Linked DNA regions of Arabidopsis thaliana. The protein of the gene in region 1 interacts with the protein of each later gene in a pairwise test. Each region holds a gene or a part of one and is shown in the gene's direction. Other genes may lie near its edges.

What was found.
Region 2: the proteins of bZIP48 (region 1) and ERF1 interact in a two-hybrid assay, tested with the Arabidopsis thaliana proteins (one large-scale study listed by BioGRID).
Region 3: the proteins of bZIP48 (region 1) and AT1G06070 interact in a two-hybrid assay, tested with the Arabidopsis thaliana proteins (one large-scale study listed by BioGRID).
Region 4: the proteins of bZIP48 (region 1) and AGL18 interact in a two-hybrid assay, tested with the Arabidopsis thaliana proteins (one large-scale study listed by BioGRID).

Annotation. Positions count from the first base shown.
Region 1 is NC_003071.7:1,329,471-1,333,318, forward strand, and holds bZIP48 (basic leucine-zipper 48), read left to right. Parts: upstream 1-2,448; coding exon 2,449-2,949; downstream 2,950-3,848. Other genes in the region: AT2G04137 (phosphogluconate dehydrogenase (decarboxylating), NAD-binding domain protein), read right to left, coding at 2,713-2,892, 3,055-3,138.
Region 2 is NC_003074.8:8,293,047-8,297,601, forward strand, and holds ERF1 (ethylene response factor 1), read left to right. Parts: upstream 1-2,570; 5' UTR 2,571-2,658; coding exon 2,659-3,315; 3' UTR 3,316-3,558; downstream 3,559-4,555.
Region 3 is NC_003070.9:1,833,878-1,840,304, reverse strand, and holds AT1G06070 (Basic-leucine zipper (bZIP) transcription factor family protein), read left to right. Parts: upstream 1-2,546; 5' UTR 2,547-2,877; intron 2,878-3,160; 5' UTR 3,161-3,188; coding exon 3,189-3,835; intron 3,836-4,058; coding exon 4,059-4,191; intron 4,192-4,275; coding exon 4,276-4,360; intron 4,361-4,697; coding exon 4,698-5,104; 3' UTR 5,105-5,476; downstream 5,477-6,427. Other genes in the region: AT1G06060 (LisH and RanBPM domains containing protein), read right to left, coding at 5,789-5,833, 5,939-6,030, 6,125-6,236, 6,344-6,419.
Region 4 is NC_003074.8:21,231,311-21,237,143, forward strand, and holds AGL18 (AGAMOUS-like 18), read left to right. Parts: upstream 1-2,161; 5' UTR 2,162-2,599; coding exon 2,600-2,781; exon of another isoform or gene 2,782-3,301; coding exon 3,302-3,410; intron 3,411-3,503; coding exon 3,504-3,559; intron 3,560-3,647; coding exon 3,648-3,747; intron 3,748-3,831; coding exon 3,832-3,873; intron 3,874-3,973; coding exon 3,974-4,015; intron 4,016-4,097; coding exon 4,098-4,246; coding exon of another isoform or gene 4,247-4,250; exon of another isoform or gene 4,251-4,334; coding exon 4,335-4,425; 3' UTR 4,426-4,668; downstream 4,669-5,833. Other genes in the region: AT3G57380 (Glycosyltransferase family 61 protein), read left to right, coding at 1-362. UniProt on the Arabidopsis thaliana protein: Probable transcription factor involved in the negative regulation of flowering, probably through the photoperiodic pathway. Prevents premature flowering. Downstream regulator of a subset of the MIKC* MADS-controlled genes required during pollen maturation.

The DNA of each region.
Region 1 (3,848 bases):
AAGAATTTTAACTGGTCATGAAGTTTATCAAAATCTGAAAAACTTCAAGAATGATTTTGGAAATGTGAAAAAATCTGGGATGAAGAGAAAGAGAACTGTCTATAAAGAACCAGTCTATGATAGTGATGATGTATCCAGTGAATCCGAGGAAGATGAGGAAGTAGAAGTAGATGAGGATGAGTTATCTAGATGGAAGAAAAGATCAATCTTCTTTACTTTGCCTTATTGGGAGGTATGATTACTTGTTTTCAGATTTAAATAGCTTTTATATGTTTAAGTATGATACATCAATTACTTCTAAAATATATGTATGTCTATATTGTAGGATCTACTAGTAAGGCATAATTTGGATGTAATGCATACAGAAAAGAACGTGGCTCACAGTATTGTATCCACATTGTTGCATTGTGGAAAATCTAAGGATGGTCTTAATGCACGTAAGGATCTGCAACATCTTGGTCTACGACACGCTTTGCATCCTACCACACAAGGAAAGAGAACATATGCACTTAGCTCCTGTATTGCTTTATTTTGTGCTTGAGACTTTTCTTATGTATTTTGGATCTAAACTTATGTTTAATCAATGGTCAATGTATGAGATTTTATAAAGCAGGTTATGTGTTATGTGTACTATAATCACATCTCAGAAAATGCTATAAGAATACAGGTAATAGAATATTTAACATATGACTAATGCTATGTTTTAATCATCTATCGTAGCTTATAAATTGATATAAGAACATAACATAGCACATAATTTGACTAATTATTTTCCAATTGAAAAAAGGCAAACCACGATAAAACAACATTTCGCAACAGCTATATTAGAGATATATAACATAGCACGAAAAATCAAATATTATATAATTTTTTTAAGAAAATTAAACGTGATAATACAACTGTTCTTTATAGCTATGTTATTAAACTATAACATAGCATACTGAACTCACGCTACTGTATGTGAGGTACCTATAATAACAATGCCCTAAAATAGCGTTCATGAAAAAGTTATTAAAGACATATTATAGCATTTTTCTCGTGATAAGAATGTCCATTGTAGTGTAAAAGACATAAAAAATAACATAATACACATAAAGACACTAAGACTTCTAAAATTCAAAAGACTCACTTGGACACTAAATGCAACAAAACTCACAACGAAAAATACTATGACAAAAATCATATCTTTTATATATTCAAATTCATTATTATATTTTCCAAAATATTGAAACAAACGAGATCCTATGTAGAATGGGATAACGCAACAAACATCAAATTACGTTTTTTAACCATAATTAATATTCATAAATACTTCTTAATCATTAATACAAATATTTTTATTAATATCATAATTAAACATAATATATCATGTTTTCGGTTAATCCTCTAAATTTGCTATGATTAGTTTCTATGAATTGATGAATTTCTCTGCGTATCAACATGTCTCACTCTCTAGATATCAACGATTTTAACATTGGATGAATTATTGTCAAATTTATTAATTCGATTGCAAAATTACATTGAAATATGATATAATAAATTAAATATATAAAATTACAAAATAAACTTATTAAATAAAATATATTATAATTATAATTTATGATATAAATTAACAAACTAAAATTTCTACACATATTTCTCCACGATGTAGAGTGTGGGTTCTTATTTAATGATCACTTATAAAGGAAAACGAATGAGGGACAAGTCAGTACTTAATTACTTTAGTTAGTTATATTTTAAACAATAGACATGTCGAATCTTTTAAGTTAAATGCATATAATGGATCGAACTTGGCGCTCAAACGTATCCAATCTTTTAATTAAAGTTTAGCCGCATCACTCTCTCTCTCTCTCTATAAGTTCATTCTAGGGAAGGGAAGCATCCAAACTTGGTTGCGACAAGACAAATGCTAAGGATAGATTTAAACTAAAAGATATGAAAATTTTGTATTAAACATTGTATTTTTTTTTACTGCGTATTAAACATTGTATAAATATTTTTTTTTAATATAATTTACCATAAATTAAAATAAAAAAGGGTTTACGTGTATAAATCTAGGTTACAAAAATAAACAACTCAAGTTAACTATTATTGGGTTTAAATTATATAAAAAAACCAAAATTTTAAAAACCTTCTCGCAGTTTCTGCTCTCACTTCCAATGAACAAGTTATATATAAAACACTAACAATATTTTTGTTATGACTAAACTCTTTCCATTTCTTTGTCCATGTTCCACCACTATAAATTACGAATTATAGCATCGCATTTTTTCTTCTTATTCTATGCTCTTATAATCCATAGGACCCACTTCTACATGATTCTCCTACAACCCCATTATAAAACCCTTGGTCCACTTCCTCCTCTTACTTCAAAACTAACTTCCCAATTCTTCACACAAAATAAAAACACAGAAACTCTTACATACTCATATAAACCAAACTAAAACCATGATTCCGGCAGAAATCAACGGATATTTCCAATATCTATCACCGGAATACAACGTAATAAACATGCCTTCATCTCCAACCTCTTCCTTAAACTACCTAAACGATTTGATCATCAACAACAACAACTATTCCTCATCATCCAACAGTCAAGATCTCATGATAAGCAACAACTCAACTTCCGACGAAGATCATCATCAAAGCATCATGGTACTCGACGAGAGGAAACAGAGAAGGATGCTTTCGAACAGAGAATCTGCAAGGAGGTCAAGGATGAGGAAACAGAGACATCTTGATGAACTCTGGTCTCAGGTAATAAGGCTTCGCAACGAGAACAACTGTCTTATCGATAAGCTGAACCGCGTATCGGAGACTCAAAATTGTGTATTGAAGGAGAACTCTAAACTCAAAGAAGAAGCTTCTGATCTCCGACAGCTTGTTTGTGAACTGAAATCTAACAAGAACAACAACAATAGTTTTCCAAGAGAGTTTGAAGATAATTAGTATTACTCAAAGTGTCCAACTTTATCAGACAAAACGTAATCTATTAACACAATCAAAAGCAGAAAATTTTGGTTTTTATACCTTGGAGAGTGTTCTGTTCTATACAGTGACTTTGAATCCGTTCTTCAATATATTCATTGACATGGACTTTCCCATGATTCCCAAACCCATAGAAAACCCTACTTCCATTTTATCTATCTTCTGCGATTATAGACTTATAGTGCTTACTGCTTAGTGATAATGGTCTAAAATAATGAGACATTTCTAATCAGGGAGCCATTATCATCAAATACTTACTTGAAAAGGAAGTATTTACAGTTTACTCCCTAAACTTTGATTCTTTTTGCATCTCTAACTGGCAGTTTAAGAACGAACAAGATTTCGCCACGTGATTGAAATTTGGCTAAAACTCCAGTGTCATTTGGAATCTTATTTTACTCCAGTCGGGCACGTTAGAAGTTCTCAATCAAATTTATTTGCGGAGTACTAATCTGAATTTACAAAATATTATTCATTTTATCTGATAGTTTATGAAATGTCAATTTAGTCCATGCTTCTAATCTATTGACAATTTTTTTTCCTTCTTCTATATATATATTTTTTTTTTTTGGTTCTGGGCCGAAATCCGTAATATTAGTTTTGCCTAGAGTCTTTACCAATTAAGCTAACGACACTTAACTCTTTCTTTCTTCTATTCTTGTGCTTCTACAATGGGAAGATCAACGTAAACATATTATTACTAAAGTTTACATACGATAGTAAACATAACTATAATGGGAAGTGCAAGTGTTTTTAATTTTATTTGTAGGTATAAAAATATGCTATATCTCTTTTTTGTGTGTGTGGTTGGCAAATCTTAGGCTCAGCCTTTTTCACATTTGTCTCTTGTTTTATTTCCT
Region 2 (4,555 bases), on another chromosome or scaffold:
ATTTCTTAGATAGAATTGATATCATGACTCAAGTTTTAATTTTTTCATTCACTCGAAAAAAAAATTGATTTGAGTCCAGAAATTCTTTTGTTTCAAATCCAAATGGATTTTCCGAACGACAGAAAATGTTGCCGATTATACATAAATAATTTAAGAAAATCATGTAAATACATTAAATTTTTTTAACTGATATGACTATAAAATCATAAAAATGACTAGAAAATATACAAATAATATGACCACGTACCATGAATGTGTAGCTATCGCCTTACGCCTAACACCTTAGTCAAATTTGAATGCTTACTGGACTTTGTTTTCTTTCTTTTTTGATTTGACTATAAATAATCTTTTTATATTTGCCTATTTCCATATAAAAATTTGAATCACTAAGAATTGAAATTCTGGAGCTTCCACTGACCGAAGGGAAAATATTGAGGAATATAAATCATTTTAGAAAACTTGTTTATTTTTATATGAAGTATTAGTAATTATTCGAATAATTATATTATTATTTTTTGTGTCAATTTATGGAAATCATTTAGCAACTGATATCAAAAGCAATTATTCTTGGGTTACTTTTCTGATGTCAATATTGAAATCAATTAATTTATTCATTTTCGGTACGTGTAAGAAGTTTAAAGTATTTTACCACAAAAAAATGAAGTTTAAAGTAAAGCCAAAAGAGATACAATGTCCAGGTTTGAAGTTTAAAATAGAGCCAAAAACTTTGAACACGTGCGGGATATCAAATAATCAGTTATGCATAGTTTTGGATGGGCTTAAGAAAGAATAAATAATTTTGTGTCCTACTGGACTCAGGATGCATGTGATGATGTGTAGTGTTCTAATAGAATTTAGTTGCGTATCCGTTCGAATAATTATTTTCAACACCTCCTACTTTTGTTACATTGTTTTAAATGACTATTGACAAAATAAAAGTAAATGTAAATAACTAAAACAGAAAAGATGTGAGAAAAACTAGGAAATTCTTTTTTTTGAAGAATTATTAAATTTGCTAGATTTGGATAATCGATTCAACATTTGGAAAAGAAAAAAAATATCTAAGGATGGTTGAAAGATAGTTTATGATCAAACTAGCCAGGATTTTAGAGGGGTCATCAGTTTTCTGAACATTTATATGTTGTTTTCCGATAATACTATAAATTTGATCAACTAATTAGATGACTTAAAATAATGTAATTGGGATAATGTTTAAGAAAATATTAGGTAACTCATATAATTTAAGAGTTATAATTTGGTTATAATTTGCACCAAATTTGAAATATATTTCTACTATAAGATAACTAGAAATAGTGAAGAAAAAAACAAAGGAAACTAGAAAAAATGAAAAAATGGCACATGAAGTATCTTTTTTGTTTGAGAAAGAAGTTGAAAGCAGATAAAGCCAAATTATCTTCTAAACATGAGATGGCTCGAAATTATTTGTTGTTTGGGATTCAAGGGGGCATGTATCTTGAATCCTTCCAACCAACAATTTTCTTTAACCATGCTTTTGGCCAAAAGATTTTCTTTAATAATAATTAATAATAGCTTCCTAAGATTATAGGATAATGATTTGATATTTTATGTAATCATATTTGCAATACCTAAGCATGAAAATGTTTTGTTGAGTTGATCCAGCAGTTATTTTGGAATATGGCTTAATCATTTTCACATCGATCTTGTTATTTCTGTTCGTGAAATGTGAACTTTCGCAGTTATTTGTTTTATTCATAAGTTGTTTTAGATCAAATAAGTGGAGTCCACTTAGAAATTATAAGATGGGAATTTTATTTGCATATCAAAATTATCTATAAAAATTTTAGTCAACTGATTTTTAGTTTTCTACTAAAATCGCCATCTTATTTTCTTCTAGATTCAATTTGATCTGAATGTGGCATGTAGGTTGATAAAACTTATCAAATAGCATCAAATCAGTATTTTCTAAAACTTTTTACATCATCATAAATCTTTCACTTATAAAATATAATATCTTGGGTACACCAAAGTAATCCTGATATATACTACAAAATATAACATTTTAGTTGTTTTCATATGTGGTTAATCTTTTTTAGGTCGTACATGATTCATAAACCTTACCGTCATAAAAAGAAAAATAAATTATATTTAAACTAAGAAATGTGATATGATGCAAAAGTGACAAAATTTCGATGAATCATGTGATGATAATACGAAATGATATACCTAACCTACACTGCTCATTCTACATTTGAAGAATATATACCTAAATATACATACCAATTCTGGGATAATTACATAATATACAGTTTCATATTAGTCTCACGTAATTACGATTCACGACAGTAAGAAGATTAGTTTAAACGGTACAAAACAATTCATATATTACGAAAACATTAAATATCACACGAAGAGAAGAAATATGCAAAACGTCTTTGCTCGAATCTTCGACGAAGCAACATAGTTTTTCATTTGAGTGTAACATTATTTTTCGTAAATTCCCATTTCACCCTTTTATTACATGACATTTGTCTTTCACTGAGACAGTAAAAACTCAAGTCTAATTTGGACATTTGCATATACATACTCATTTTTTTCTCTATATATATAGACCATGTCAATCCACTAACGATCCCTAACCGAAAACAGAGTAGTCAAGAAACAGAGTATTTTTTCTACATGGATCCATTTTTAATTCAGTCCCCATTCTCCGGCTTCTCACCGGAATATTCTATCGGATCTTCTCCAGATTCTTTCTCATCCTCTTCTTCTAACAATTACTCTCTTCCCTTCAACGAGAACGACTCAGAGGAAATGTTTCTCTACGGTCTAATCGAGCAGTCCACGCAACAAACCTATATTGACTCGGATAGTCAAGACCTTCCGATCAAATCCGTAAGCTCAAGAAAGTCAGAGAAGTCTTACAGAGGCGTAAGACGACGGCCATGGGGGAAATTCGCGGCGGAGATAAGAGATTCGACTAGAAACGGTATTAGGGTTTGGCTCGGGACGTTCGAAAGCGCGGAAGAGGCGGCTTTAGCCTACGATCAAGCTGCTTTCTCGATGAGAGGGTCCTCGGCGATTCTCAATTTTTCGGCGGAGAGAGTTCAAGAGTCGCTTTCGGAGATTAAATATACCTACGAGGATGGTTGTTCTCCGGTTGTGGCGTTGAAGAGGAAACACTCGATGAGACGGAGAATGACCAATAAGAAGACGAAAGATAGTGACTTTGATCACCGCTCCGTGAAGTTAGATAATGTAGTTGTCTTTGAGGATTTGGGAGAACAGTACCTTGAGGAGCTTTTGGGGTCTTCTGAAAATAGTGGGACTTGGTGAAAGATTAGGATTTGTATTAGGGACCTTAAGTTTGAAGTGGTTGATTAATTTTAACCCTAATATGTTTTTTGTTTGCTTAAATATTTGATTCTATTGAGAAACATCGAAAACAGTTTGTATGTATTTTTGTGATACTTGACTTTATCAATTTCAAGTTAGTGTAAAAGTCTTTGTCTCTTACTATTCAACTAGTAAGAAAACTCTCATTTTTCTTATTTATCGTAATGAGGATTGTCTTTAAGCATGTGCTATTAGAGTATTCAAACATGTTTTAAGTTAACATAATAATTTTTTTGCACAAAGCCTACAAATAGTGTAAGATGGTCATAATCAATTGCTCATAACAATATACAAAGACAGTTCTTTTTATTGTTCTGTAATATATGAGTCCATGAGTATTGAGGAGCGACTCTATATAGTAGTATAATTTATTTTTGTTAATCATTAATTAGGAGCCACCTAAATGGCTAACTATAATAATGGAGTATAAGTTAAAGTGTTTTAATTTTGTTTCAAATAGACCACAACTGAAAAAGATGGTCAGGTAGTGTAATGAAAATCTTGACTTCTTTCGGATTAGGTGGCAACTTCTAGAATTTTTGTGCTATTTTACATATATTTTTAATTCATGATTTAAAGTAGCTATGGATTTTCTTGTGACTTTCTAAGGGAATTATCTAAGAATAATTGAATAAAAAAGATTTAAATATGCAGAAACTTGAACTTTTTTTTTGCAATGAGATGCATCTGTAACTAGAACTTTTGTCCGATAAAACGTTTTAGGTAAAAAAAGTAGTCACATAATCACATTATTGTTTTGGTAGTTGAGGTCACCAGAACGATCTGTCATAACTTTTGGGTTTGCTTGCGTATGGGTCATGACCAAGTGCATTGTAATCAAAATTTAGCCGGTAAATAGTATTATGGTAATGACATATTAAATCAACTCATAGATTTCTTTATAATATTTTAACCTGTAAAATCTAATCTTAATATTCAATTATTCACTAAAGACAAACCTGTAAACTTTTGAATGAACTAATGTTAATTTTGATTTTTTTTTTATCTGATGATTTGGAATAATAATTAACAATCCTATCAATATTCCCCATCTCTAGTAATAGGAAATAGTATAACAATTACTGATTATAGAAAAATTCTATAAAATGCCACACATTCAAATTTTGTTGTAAGAAATATCACTATTAGTTTAATGTTCCAAAAATACCACCAAAAGTTT
Region 3 (6,427 bases), on another chromosome or scaffold:
TTGATCCATGGAAACATCTCTACACAAAATGTATTCCCCCATCCATACAGAATGATAACCCATCCACATCTTCGTAGTCTTAACATCGTAACAACGAAAACATTATTTACTCAGCTTAGAAAGAAAAAATCGAGTTCTTGTGAAATTTATTCATACATGCAAAGTAATTAATGAAACGGCAAATATTGTCTATCTCAGCTGATTTCTTTATCGATGTTTTATAACTAGCATTTTTGTTCATCTAAAATTATCGGGCATTATAATATATTAGCAGTTTTAAAAATCATTTGGTTCAAAAAAACTTCAGAAAGGTTATAAGTTAAAGAAAATTGAATTCACTTATAACTTATACTCCATGAATTCACTTAAAAATTGAATTCACTTAAAAGTTGAATTCACTTATAACTTATATAAGTTAGGAGATTTGAAAATAAAATAATAGAATGTATAAACCCTATAGACTACAAAAGAACTATTTCGTAGATTGTAAGAGAACCCACAGGCCACAGTGTGATAGATTCAACGTCATAACTACAGAAGACATTAATTAGATTTGGGACCAAAAAGTCAATGATGCACCTGCAAAAACCACAAGGGGTCCGACCCATTGTTTCTTTACCATTCACCAGTAACACAAATTTTGTTTTATATATATTAACCTATTATTAAGGTTAATTACAACATAAAAAGTAGTAAATGACGAATCACAGATCTCAATGAGGCTTCCTCTGTTTCTGGGATCCTAATGACAAATCTGATGTGGGTCGGTGTCCAATCCGGTTCTTTCTCTTTTGCCACCATTCAAGGCCATGCCTCGCCATTGATTCGAACCTCCACTGCTACTTTTTTACTGGACTATAAAAACATTGAAGTAAAAATATGCAAAAGTAAAAAAAAAACATATGATCTTTTGTCATCATTATTATTTTCCCTGACAAGTAATGAAAGGAATTCAAATATATTTTTATGACGATAAAAAAAAAATCGGACTCAAAGAATAACCTGAGACCCAATAGGTTGTTGGTAAAAACCTGATGTCTGAACAAGTCTGGGTAAGGTCAGAAGAAAAATAACAATGTTACTTTTTTTTGTGTGCACCTTTCTAACAATGTTACTAATTAATTAGTGTATCGTACTTAATAATGGTCTTGCTTCTCGTTTATGCTTTAACTAGCTAAATAACATATGGTCCAGTCAATCTTGGTTACCATTTTGACATCTCAATTTGCTTAGTGTTTGATTTTCTTGCTTTTAGTTAATCATCTTGATCTCCACAAAAAAATGGACACGCTGTTCTATGTACATAATGGAGCAGGTAGTTTTACTGTTTTATGTATCTTTGATCTACCATGAAAACAAGCATTTTTCTATAACTACAGAAACATATGAAGCAACTAAAAAGTAACATGAATACAAATAAACCCGACATGCACGAGCAGACTCTAGAGTGTAGACTCAAATTTTACATCCCCGTCAACCAGAAAAATAGTAAGTATTTAGAATTATTTAATACGAAAGCGAAATGTAGGTCCAATTAAATTCTCCAAGTAAGAAAAAAGCCGAACAATATATGACGATACCAAACCCTAAAACTGTGCAATAACACCTATTTTGTAGAAAACTACATTACGTACTCTGCTATAAAACTACATATCTATAATGGAACTTTTCAACCATTTTCTTTTTTTCATTTGAGAATCCTTTGTGAGTAACATAATTGTATATATACTTGCCTGACCATTTCAATTGGCATCATATTGCTGCCTTATTTCGTATGGGTTATGGGTACCCCCTAAGGCTTAACTTGTGACTATAGAGCCAACAAGGTCACGTGAGAATATATGCAGAAAAATTCACTGTAAAAAACACTATATATTTTACTACTTATTTTTCTTTTGATTATTACGAATATCCGGATTTTTTGGTAGAATGAAAATATTTCTAGCAAATAATTTGCAAATCCCATAATTTTAGGAATTGAATTGAAGTATGGCCAGACGAGGTTGTTGAGAGGAGTAAACACGCCCATTCAATTGTCAATGGGTGAGAGAGGTCGGTCAAGTGTGATGGGTAGTAGTACTATGGGCCCTATCTTTTACCATGCGGCCCATAAACGATGGCCCACTCTAGATTATTTTCAAAGAATATTAGTCCCCATGCTCCCTTATCCAGAAATCAACAACAATCACAGTACTTATAAGAGCGTTGACAAATACAAATAGTAAGAAACATATATTTTATGAAACTGAAATTGCAATGGTTTCAAACTCTTTCATTTCTCTTTTAAAATATTAGATTTTCATATGATTGAAAGAAATCGTACGTCAGCATTAATAATATTGAAAACATATCACATGGTTATAACTTCCTGGTTAGTATTTTCTTATAAAAGAAAAATTAGAAAGTCATCAAAAATAGTAGTAGTATTCGCAAGCAACTCTCGACGGTCCAACCAAAAATTAGCAACCACGTGAACCAATTTGACAAAAATAATTTATTTACGCTCTTCACGAACCAACCAGACATATTGATCATCATCCAACGGTCAGTAACATCGTTCATTGCAACACGCTAACGCAGCTGATTACACCCTAATTCCGACAAAAGTACCACTTACCCGAACCAAATTACGTTTAAACGACATCGTTTACGCCGTAAATCTTCTGATGCACACTAGTTCGAAGGATCCTTTAATGGGAGAGAGAATGTTCTACTTCTTCTTCTTCTTCTTCTTCTTCTTCTTCCTCCTCTCTCGTCGGATCTCTCTGATTTAGTGATTTTTCAAATTTCAAGTTTTCTTCACCTTTAATTTTGTGTCTCGTTGATCTCTCTTTGGACATTCTGCTTTGGATTCTGGAGGCTTCTCATTAGATCTCTGTAAGTGCGTGAAAACTCAAAAGATCCTATCTTTTTACTTATTTTAGGGTTTTCGTTTTGAATTAAGGCTAAGATAAAGCGTGTGATTGTTTTAGGGTTGTGTATCTCCTTAGTTGAGGAAACTGATAGCTAAGACGAAACCCTAATCTGTTCTAATATGGAATATAATCGCTGAGATAAAGCGTGTGATTGTTTCAAATGAATTTGATAGCTAAAGATGAAACCCTAATCTGTTCTAGTATGGAATATAATCTATCTTTTTTCGGGAATAAATGGTATGCAGATTAGTGGGTTTAGGTCAAGTTCTTGAAATGGATAAGGAGAAATCTCCTGCACCACCACCTAGTGGAGGTCTTCCTCCACCATCGGGTCGTTACTCTGCGTTTTCACCTAATGGAAGTAGCTTTGCAATGAAAGCTGAATCATCTTTTCCTCCTTTGACTCCAAGTGGAAGCAATAGCTCAGATGCTAACCGATTCAGCCATGATATTAGCCGAATGCCGGATAATCCACCTAAGAACCTAGGCCATCGCCGAGCTCATTCAGAGATTCTTACTCTTCCTGATGACTTAAGCTTTGATAGTGATCTTGGTGTGGTTGGTGCTGCTGATGGACCTTCTTTCTCTGATGATACTGACGAGGACTTACTCTATATGTATCTTGATATGGAAAAATTCAATTCTTCTGCTACATCGACTTCTCAAATGGGTGAGCCATCAGAACCGACTTGGAGGAATGAATTAGCCTCGACTTCTAACCTTCAGAGTACACCCGGTAGCTCTAGTGAAAGACCGAGAATTAGACACCAACACAGCCAATCGATGGATGGTTCAACAACTATCAAGCCTGAGATGCTTATGTCAGGGAATGAAGATGTGTCTGGAGTTGACTCTAAGAAAGCCATCTCTGCTGCTAAACTTTCTGAGCTTGCTCTCATTGATCCAAAACGCGCCAAGAGGTATTTTTTTCTTTTCTGAACAGTTTTCCTTCTATGTTTTTAAGAAGTTGTATAGTTTTTGGTGAAACATTATCTAGGGTTGTTGACTAAAAAGAATAAAGCTTGGCTGAACTGATCTGTTGGAGTTTTACATAACCCTTCATCTAGAAGTAGCTCACTCGTAAATTACGGTAACTAGTAATGAATTTGTATAAGATGCGTGACATGTTGTATCATTTGATAGGATATGGGCAAACAGGCAGTCTGCTGCGAGGTCAAAAGAAAGGAAGATGAGATACATTGCAGAGCTCGAGAGAAAAGTACAGACTTTACAAACAGAGGCCACATCTCTCTCAGCCCAGTTGACTCTCTTACAGGTTTGGAGACCAAATTTAACTCTAGACTAAGATATTTGTAAGTTTATGGTTGTAATCTTGTTCTCTTTTCATCCTTGTGTTCAGAGAGATACAAATGGCCTGGGTGTTGAAAACAATGAGCTTAAACTGCGAGTACAAACTATGGAGCAACAGGTCCACCTACAGGATGGTGAGGATCTTTTCTCACATACTTCCTAGGAGCTGATATTTCTTCATCTCTTTACTATCAATGCAAATAAACATTGTCAATGACTGTCGAAGGTGTAGTATATATGACATACCACATTCTGGATCTGTCAGTGTAAGATTGTATGCCATGTTTGTGGTCATACAAAGCTTAAAATACAGATCCAGAATCTTGAATAACACATAAACATACACCTTCAAAACTCAATGCCATTTCTCTGGTTAAGAAAGTCTATAAATATTTGTCCCCCGTCGAGATATTCGCTGCACTTTGTTGTGAATGCTGCTACTTGATTTAATCGTCTTTATCTGTTTGACAGCTTTAAATGATGCACTAAAGGAGGAAGTCCAGCATCTTAAGGTATTGACGGGGCAAGGTCCATCAAATGGTACATCAATGAACTACGGTTCTTTTGGATCAAACCAGCAATTCTATCCCAATAATCAGTCGATGCACACTATCTTAGCCGCACAACAGTTACAGCAGCTCCAGATCCAGTCACAGAAACAGCAACAACAACAACAGCAACACCAGCAACAACAACAGCAGCAGCAGCAGCAATTTCACTTTCAACAGCAGCAACTGTACCAGCTTCAGCAGCAGCAACGGCTTCAACAACAGGAACAACAAAGCGGGGCTTCAGAGCTAAGAAGACCCATGCCTTCTCCTGGTCAGAAAGAGAGTGTGACATCGCCTGATCGTGAAACTCCCTTGACAAAAGACTGAGTCTAGACTGTGCTAATGTCCAATTTAGTAAGTTACTCTTGGAAAATCTTCTTTTTCATCGCAGGCTCATGGATTTGGGATTTACTGCATTATAGAGTTAAAAACAAGACAGCTTAGAAGTTGCGGATTTAGAAGTTGTTAGTGAAGCTTTTGTTCTCGTCTGTTGGTAGTTTACAATCTTCTCTTTGTATGATCCTAAGCTCTTAAAAAGTTCTTGGATTTGGTCATTTGGTTAGAAATGGGTCCTTAGTCCAAGTCTGTAGTCGTTTAACCATATTCATATTCTTTGCCTTTTGTTCATTTTGGTTACTTGAAAAGTCTCATTTGGTCTTGAATTGTGATGTCTAAAAATAAAACCTTGAATTTGCAAGTATTCTATCAAAACATAAACGATAGTTACAAAGAGAAATGTGTATTCCAAAGATATGGATTACAGATTTATCGACTAAACTCACACAAAGTTGATGAAACAATCTTCTGGTAGAGAACTGAACCAAACCAAACCAAACCAAGCCGAAACTGTCCTTCACAATATTGATCTCCTGTAACAGCAAACTGAAACCCCGCCTGTGGCCATGGAAGACTAACCTTGCAAACTTTAGAGAGGAGCAAGGTCTTTTTGTATTTACATGACAATGCTTAGCATATCCTCCTCCTAGCAAACTTTGGAGTAGTCCTGCGATCTTAGCCTTTGAGAGAATCCTTCAGAGAGAATGGAGGAAACGCATCCTATCATAAGACATGAAATAGCGTTTAAACACAGGCACCTACTATTCCCAGGGCTTCTACAACGAATCAGATATATGAGTAAAAATACTGAAATACTACGATTACTTTGCCATTCTCCTCAGTCAAGTATTGTCTCACAACTGTCACCTGTTGTATGATCCTTTCCATTGGTGTGTAGCTCGGGTGGTTTGTGTGTTCTACATAATTTGAAGAATGAGTTAAAACTTGTAATTTGCTAAGGTCACAGGACGGTAGAGATTTTCGTGGAGGTAAAAATAAAAAAGAACTGACCAAGAATTGTGCGGTTCAGATTATCAGCAACTTGTTGGCGGTATTCAGAGCTCAAAAGATGGAACATTGGGGATTTCTCAGGGTCTTCATAAGCGAGCAATGCCATTACGTCCTGTCTCAGGAAAAAACAAATCTACCATCATTTGGAAGAACATAACAAGTAATCTACCAATACATCAAGACGAATATAATGGAGGATCAAACAAGATTCAGACTTACTTCAAGCTTTTCTACATATTTTTTGACCTTCCCAAAAGGAGCCAATCTTGTCTTACCAAATTTGAGAGCTTCGGTGCTGCACAC
Region 4 (5,833 bases), on another chromosome or scaffold:
ATTTACTTTTCTTGAAACCGAAAACAGTCTTTATACAGATTATACCAATAGGAACCGAATGGGCTGCTGAGACTTACTATGGTAAACCAGCTAAGAAGATGAGATTGAAGTACATTGGTTACAAGATTAAACCGAAAGAGAGCTCTTTGTACGATGAATATGGCATCGATGATCCCATTATCCGAGATCCTAAGAGTTTTACTCAAAAAGGATGGGATTACACTAAGAAGATTTATCTTGAGCGCCAAAACGTGAAGCTTGATTTGAAAAGATTTAGGAAACCGTTGTCTCGTGCTTATGATTTCTCGATGAAGCGAATTGGACTGGTGTATATCAGTCACAAACCGGATGTTACCAATTAAACCGGGGTTTGAGATTGTATAATATAATTTTGGAGATGTAAACATTTTGTACAGAGAATGCATAGACTTTCTTTTGTGTCGTACCTAATGACACAAATTTACAAGCTTTTGTTCTGTATAGAAATCACTAACCGGAGAATACCAACTAAACTGAGTTTTTTTCACACTTTTTCCACTGAGTTCATACCACATTCAACTGGGTCTAAGGGCCCAAATATTATTTGCTTTATAGGCCCAAAGTCCCAAACATGCTAATCTTTCATGATACCTCCTCCATACGTCTTTTTTACAATTTTGTGTGTTTTACAAAAAAAAATTTTGCTTAGTAATCTATTTGTTAAGATTTTTTCCGTTTCTATTTGATAAGAATATATTCGATATATTTTCAATTTATACTGTATAGAGTAGCTTGTTATAATTATCATCAAATTTCATTGTTTTTTTCATAAACAAATATGATTAAAATTGATCTAGAAGTCTGCACGAAGAAAAGTAAAATGGAAACAAATTGCAGATTTGCATGTAATTACGACAAGTGGCTCATTCTCTTTTTTAGCATGTTACAGAAGTGTCTGGTTAATGGGAAAAAAAAATATTGAACTTTCTTTTATTTTGTATATAAACCAACCTTATGTGAGTAATATCCCAAAGAGGTTTCTTTTAAAATATCTTTGGGTTTTTAATTCATTTATGGGAATTTCTATAACAAAATTTCACCACAAATAAATGTTGTTCCTTTCGTAGAAGAAAACAAAATCTTAAGAAATCACGTTATTTTCGTATTTGATGGTAGTTTATAAATTTCGAAAGATGATTCAACGCGATTCATACGAGATATTATTTTTTTGACAACAACAAAAGATAGTAAAGTGTTAAAAAAAAATGTGTAAAGTTTTATGGAGTATAATTTAAAGATTTATCTTGAATTGAGAATGTGTAAATCACATTGGTTAAAGTGGAACTAAATATTTTTTTAGTAAATTATTTGTTTTTCTCTAGCTTAGTTTTAATTTCAATTTTGGAAAAGGGAGAATATTGACCAAAAACAAAAAGAGCACGATTAAATGACCTAACACTACATTTAGAAACACGCATCTGAATTATTTACATTGCAAAACAAAAGTGTTGAGCTGTATAGCATGTATTTATATTTACTTAAATACTTTCCATATCTATAAAAAGATATTTGCTCACCAAAATTTCACAACCGAACTAATTTTATTTATTATTACTAATGTTTAGATAATTCCACAAATACAGTGTAATTCTCAAAATATAATTTCGGTTACAATAGAAAGTCTTCTCTAGAAAGAGATATTTTTCTTTTACTAAAAATACAACAAACTCAGTTTGGAGGGGAAAGTAATCTTCCTTGTGAGATTTTACTATCTATAGAAACGTTAAAGCCACACCTTTTGCTTTTCTTATCATATTCTTCTTCAAATACGGCCACGTTTGGCCATTCTACTAGATCTCAACCCAAAAAAAAGAAACAAAATCTCAACCAACAAGAAAACAAAGCTAAAGAGAAAAAAAAGAACACAGTAGTTGTTATTTCATAAATCTTTTAAAGATATGAAAATATCAGTTATTAAATAAAACAGTATCCAAAACAACTAAAAATAAAGACTATAATAAAATGAAATAGTTGATCAAATATTTCCTTATTATAGGGATCAACTTTATTTGACTATATAAAAAGTAACATTTCTGTAAAGCAATAAAACAATAAAATTATGGAAGATTAAGTTTTAGAAACGTAATAAAAAGCATGATGACCTAAAAGCAAAGCCAAAAAAGAAAAACCCTAGAAGATAAAAAAAAAGGGAGGCGATACACGAAATAGAGAAGAGATCCAAAACCAAAACAAGGGCGTTATAAATGGGAAGAAAGTTCCAAAAGAAGAAAACAGCCACTCACACCAAGCAAAGCAAATTAGCAAAGCCACCAAATATGGAAAATTGCTACTTATAGTAACTCCCATCTTTTTATATAATACCCTAATTTTGGTCCTAATTTTCCTTCCTTAGCCCCTTTCCCAATATTTGATCAATTTCTAAAGAAAACCCCTTCCTCTACTAGTCCTCCTCCTATATATACAAAATCTTAAGAAATCTCTCTACTTGTTTCCTCTGTTATCATAATCTCTTCTCTCTATATCTCTTCTCTTCTTCTTTTACCCTGTTTTTTTTTTCATTCCACAGAGCCCAGGTTGATTGATTTTGTTATTCAGAGATATGGGGAGAGGAAGGATTGAGATTAAGAAGATTGAGAATATCAACAGTCGTCAAGTCACTTTCTCTAAGAGACGAAACGGTTTGATCAAGAAGGCTAAAGAGCTTTCGATTCTCTGTGACGCCGAGGTTGCTCTTATCATCTTCTCCAGCACCGGCAAGATTTACGATTTCTCCAGCGTCTGGTATATTAGTTATCATCTCATGATTTTGCTTCTTTTTTTTTGCTTTGGGGAAATAAAAAGTTTTGCATTTTTATGGGTTTTTGTGTCTAAAGTAAATGAAAACAGAGCAACCCCTGTTTATCTATATCCTAATCTGGCTAAATCTTTAGGTTGATGATGAAATAATTTTGATGGGTTATGATTTTAAGGTTTGGAGAATTGAGATTACGATTTTTGCTATCGGATTAGTTTGTGTGTTTTATAAACCCTAACTGTTGATGAAACTACAATTTGGTCACTATCTTTGGTATCAGAATTTGGGAGATGCATTTGTCTATGTATATATCAGTTGTTAGAATCTCAACTCCAGAATTCTGAAAGATCGTTAATTTCTAAGATTATTAGACCATAGAAGTGTTTATCTTATCTTTATGAAGAAATTTGAGAATGCAGAAGTTTAGATTCATGATTTTTTCCTGTAATGATCAATCAAACCAATTACGGGGTTTTACTAACGGAGAGTTTTGTTCAATTTGTGAAGTATGGAGCAAATTCTTTCTAGATATGGATACACTACTGCGTCCACTGAGCATAAACAACAAAGAGAACACCAACTTCTAATTTGTGCTTCACATGGAAATGAAGCTGTGGTAAGCAGAGACTCTCTACCAAGAATTTATTTTTGTATCCCTTTGTCTGTGTTCAAGTTTTTGGTTTACCTTACATGGTATTCGTTGTTGTAGTTGCGAAATGATGATTCTATGAAGGGGGAACTTGAAAGATTACAGCTTGCAATTGAGTATGTATCTCACTGGAAAAAGAACTTGCGTTTGTTCTTGGTTAAAGTTTCGGCCTTTCATCGGTTTTTTCTACTTGTTCGTGAACAGGAGACTTAAGGGTAAGGAGCTTGAAGGTATGAGTTTCCCGGATCTTATTTCTCTTGAAAACCAGTTGAACGAGAGCTTGCATAGTGTCAAGGATCAAAAGGTGAAGACAAAATACTAATTTATTCAAACATCGAGAGATGATTTTTGATTCATCCCTGTCTTGAAAAGTTTTGTTTTGATTCAGACACAAATCCTGCTCAACCAGATTGAGAGATCCAGGATACAGGTACGAACAGAGCTCCTCAAATGTCAGAATCATTGTTATTATCAATTCGTATACAATGTTGAATCTCAACACTCTTGTTTTGTTTCCTTGTCATTAATAGGAGAAAAAAGCATTGGAAGAAAACCAAATCTTGCGCAAACAGGTAAAGATTCATCAAAACCCTTATATTAGCTCGGTCTGGTCTTCACCAGTCATAACTGAGTTCAATTCTAATTTGCCCTCAGGTTGAGATGTTGGGGAGAGGTTCAGGACCAAAAGTGTTGAATGAAAGGCCTCAAGATTCTAGCCCAGAAGCCGATCCCGAGAGCTCTTCATCAGAAGAGGATGAGAATGACAACGAGGAGCACCATTCCGACACTTCCTTGCAGTTGGGGTAAACTGCAAAACAAAGCCCTAACTTCTGTTACAAGCTTTTATTGTTACTGAGCATTCTACAAACTTGTTGGTTTGATCTTTCTTAGGTTGTCGTCGACGGGGTATTGCACAAAGAGAAAGAAGCCGAAGATCGAACTGGTCTGCGATAACTCTGGGAGTCAAGTGGCTTCTGATTGATGGAATCGATTATTTTTCTAATTCTGGTTGTTTAGGGGTCTCTATGTGTCTTCTTGTTTCTGGCTGTTCTTTTGCTTTATTTCATCTCAAGTAGAGTTTTCTTAATGTTTAGGTGGAACATTTTTCCATAATCAAGAAGGGATTTGATCAATCAATAACATTAGATTTTCTTAGTTAAAGACTTAAAGTTGCCCACACACCACACCATATGTGATTATGATGAATTTACATTTTATAAACAGGTTTTCAGTGATTTCAAGAAACATAAGCGTGCATTCATTTTTTTTTTGCTTTAACTAGAACCCAAATCTTCAATAGTTTTCATGAATCGACTTTGAAAATACATAAATCCACAACATTAATATGATTAAGCATTCTTGAAATCCTAAGTTAGGTGAACAGAGAGTTAAGAGTAAATGCTCCTAGACATGGTTTAGTCGATTGCAGATAATTCGGGTCAGCAAAGAAATGTGATCACTAAGCAAATCTGGGTTGCGTAAACTCGTTGACAATAAACGGAAGCGTCTTACCCCTTTTTTCCGGCCCACTTCTTTACTTGGGCCAAATAATTTTATTTTGGGCTTTTTTTAAAAGGATGATCTTAATTGTGTGTGGGCATTTAAGGGCACCGACAATTCAAAGGTAGCCGACGGCTTACAGAAATATGGCTGCTCAGATCATCAGAGACCCCATACAATAAATATTTATGTTTCGAGAAATAAATCACCAGATGGTTGACAAGTTGCGGCAGTAAGTACATGTTACTTTTCTTGTCAGAAAGTACAACAACAGTACTTTTTTTATAGTCGACACTAAAATTAAGACTCGTATTTAGTAATGCAGAAAAATCTTTACAAAAATATACTATATACTCCTGAGAAAAAGCAGCTGATTTGACTGAAATAAAGAAAATGTTAGTAGTCTAGTAATGATTTGTGAACTACAAACGTTGTTTAAGGCGTTTACAGTAATATTAACATTACGGAATACAAAAGGGTGATGACTAGTCGACAAATAAAAATGGTAATGAGTCTAAATGACGAAATAATTAAAGAAATGTGTGAAAGGAAGAGAATAATAAGCACAAGTCCCGGACCTGAAAACGGAAAGATCAGAAGAGCCACGTGTGCAGGAGCTTGAAGAGAAGGTTCCAAATGAGAAAGAGATCCACCACCGTCATCAACACACACACACACACTTTGTTTGTTCTCACGGAGTCCCCAACAAAAGTCAAATCACCGTTCATTGAGCCCCACTTTTATTTACTTACATGTTTAATAGACCCGTTTGTATTACGAGACACTTCTAGTCGCATGTCTCCACCGTCCGATCACGGATCCTAGCTGTAATCAAGGGGGCAGATTTAATGAAGTGGGCCTCTTAGTAACTGCCTTCTCCACGTATCCTG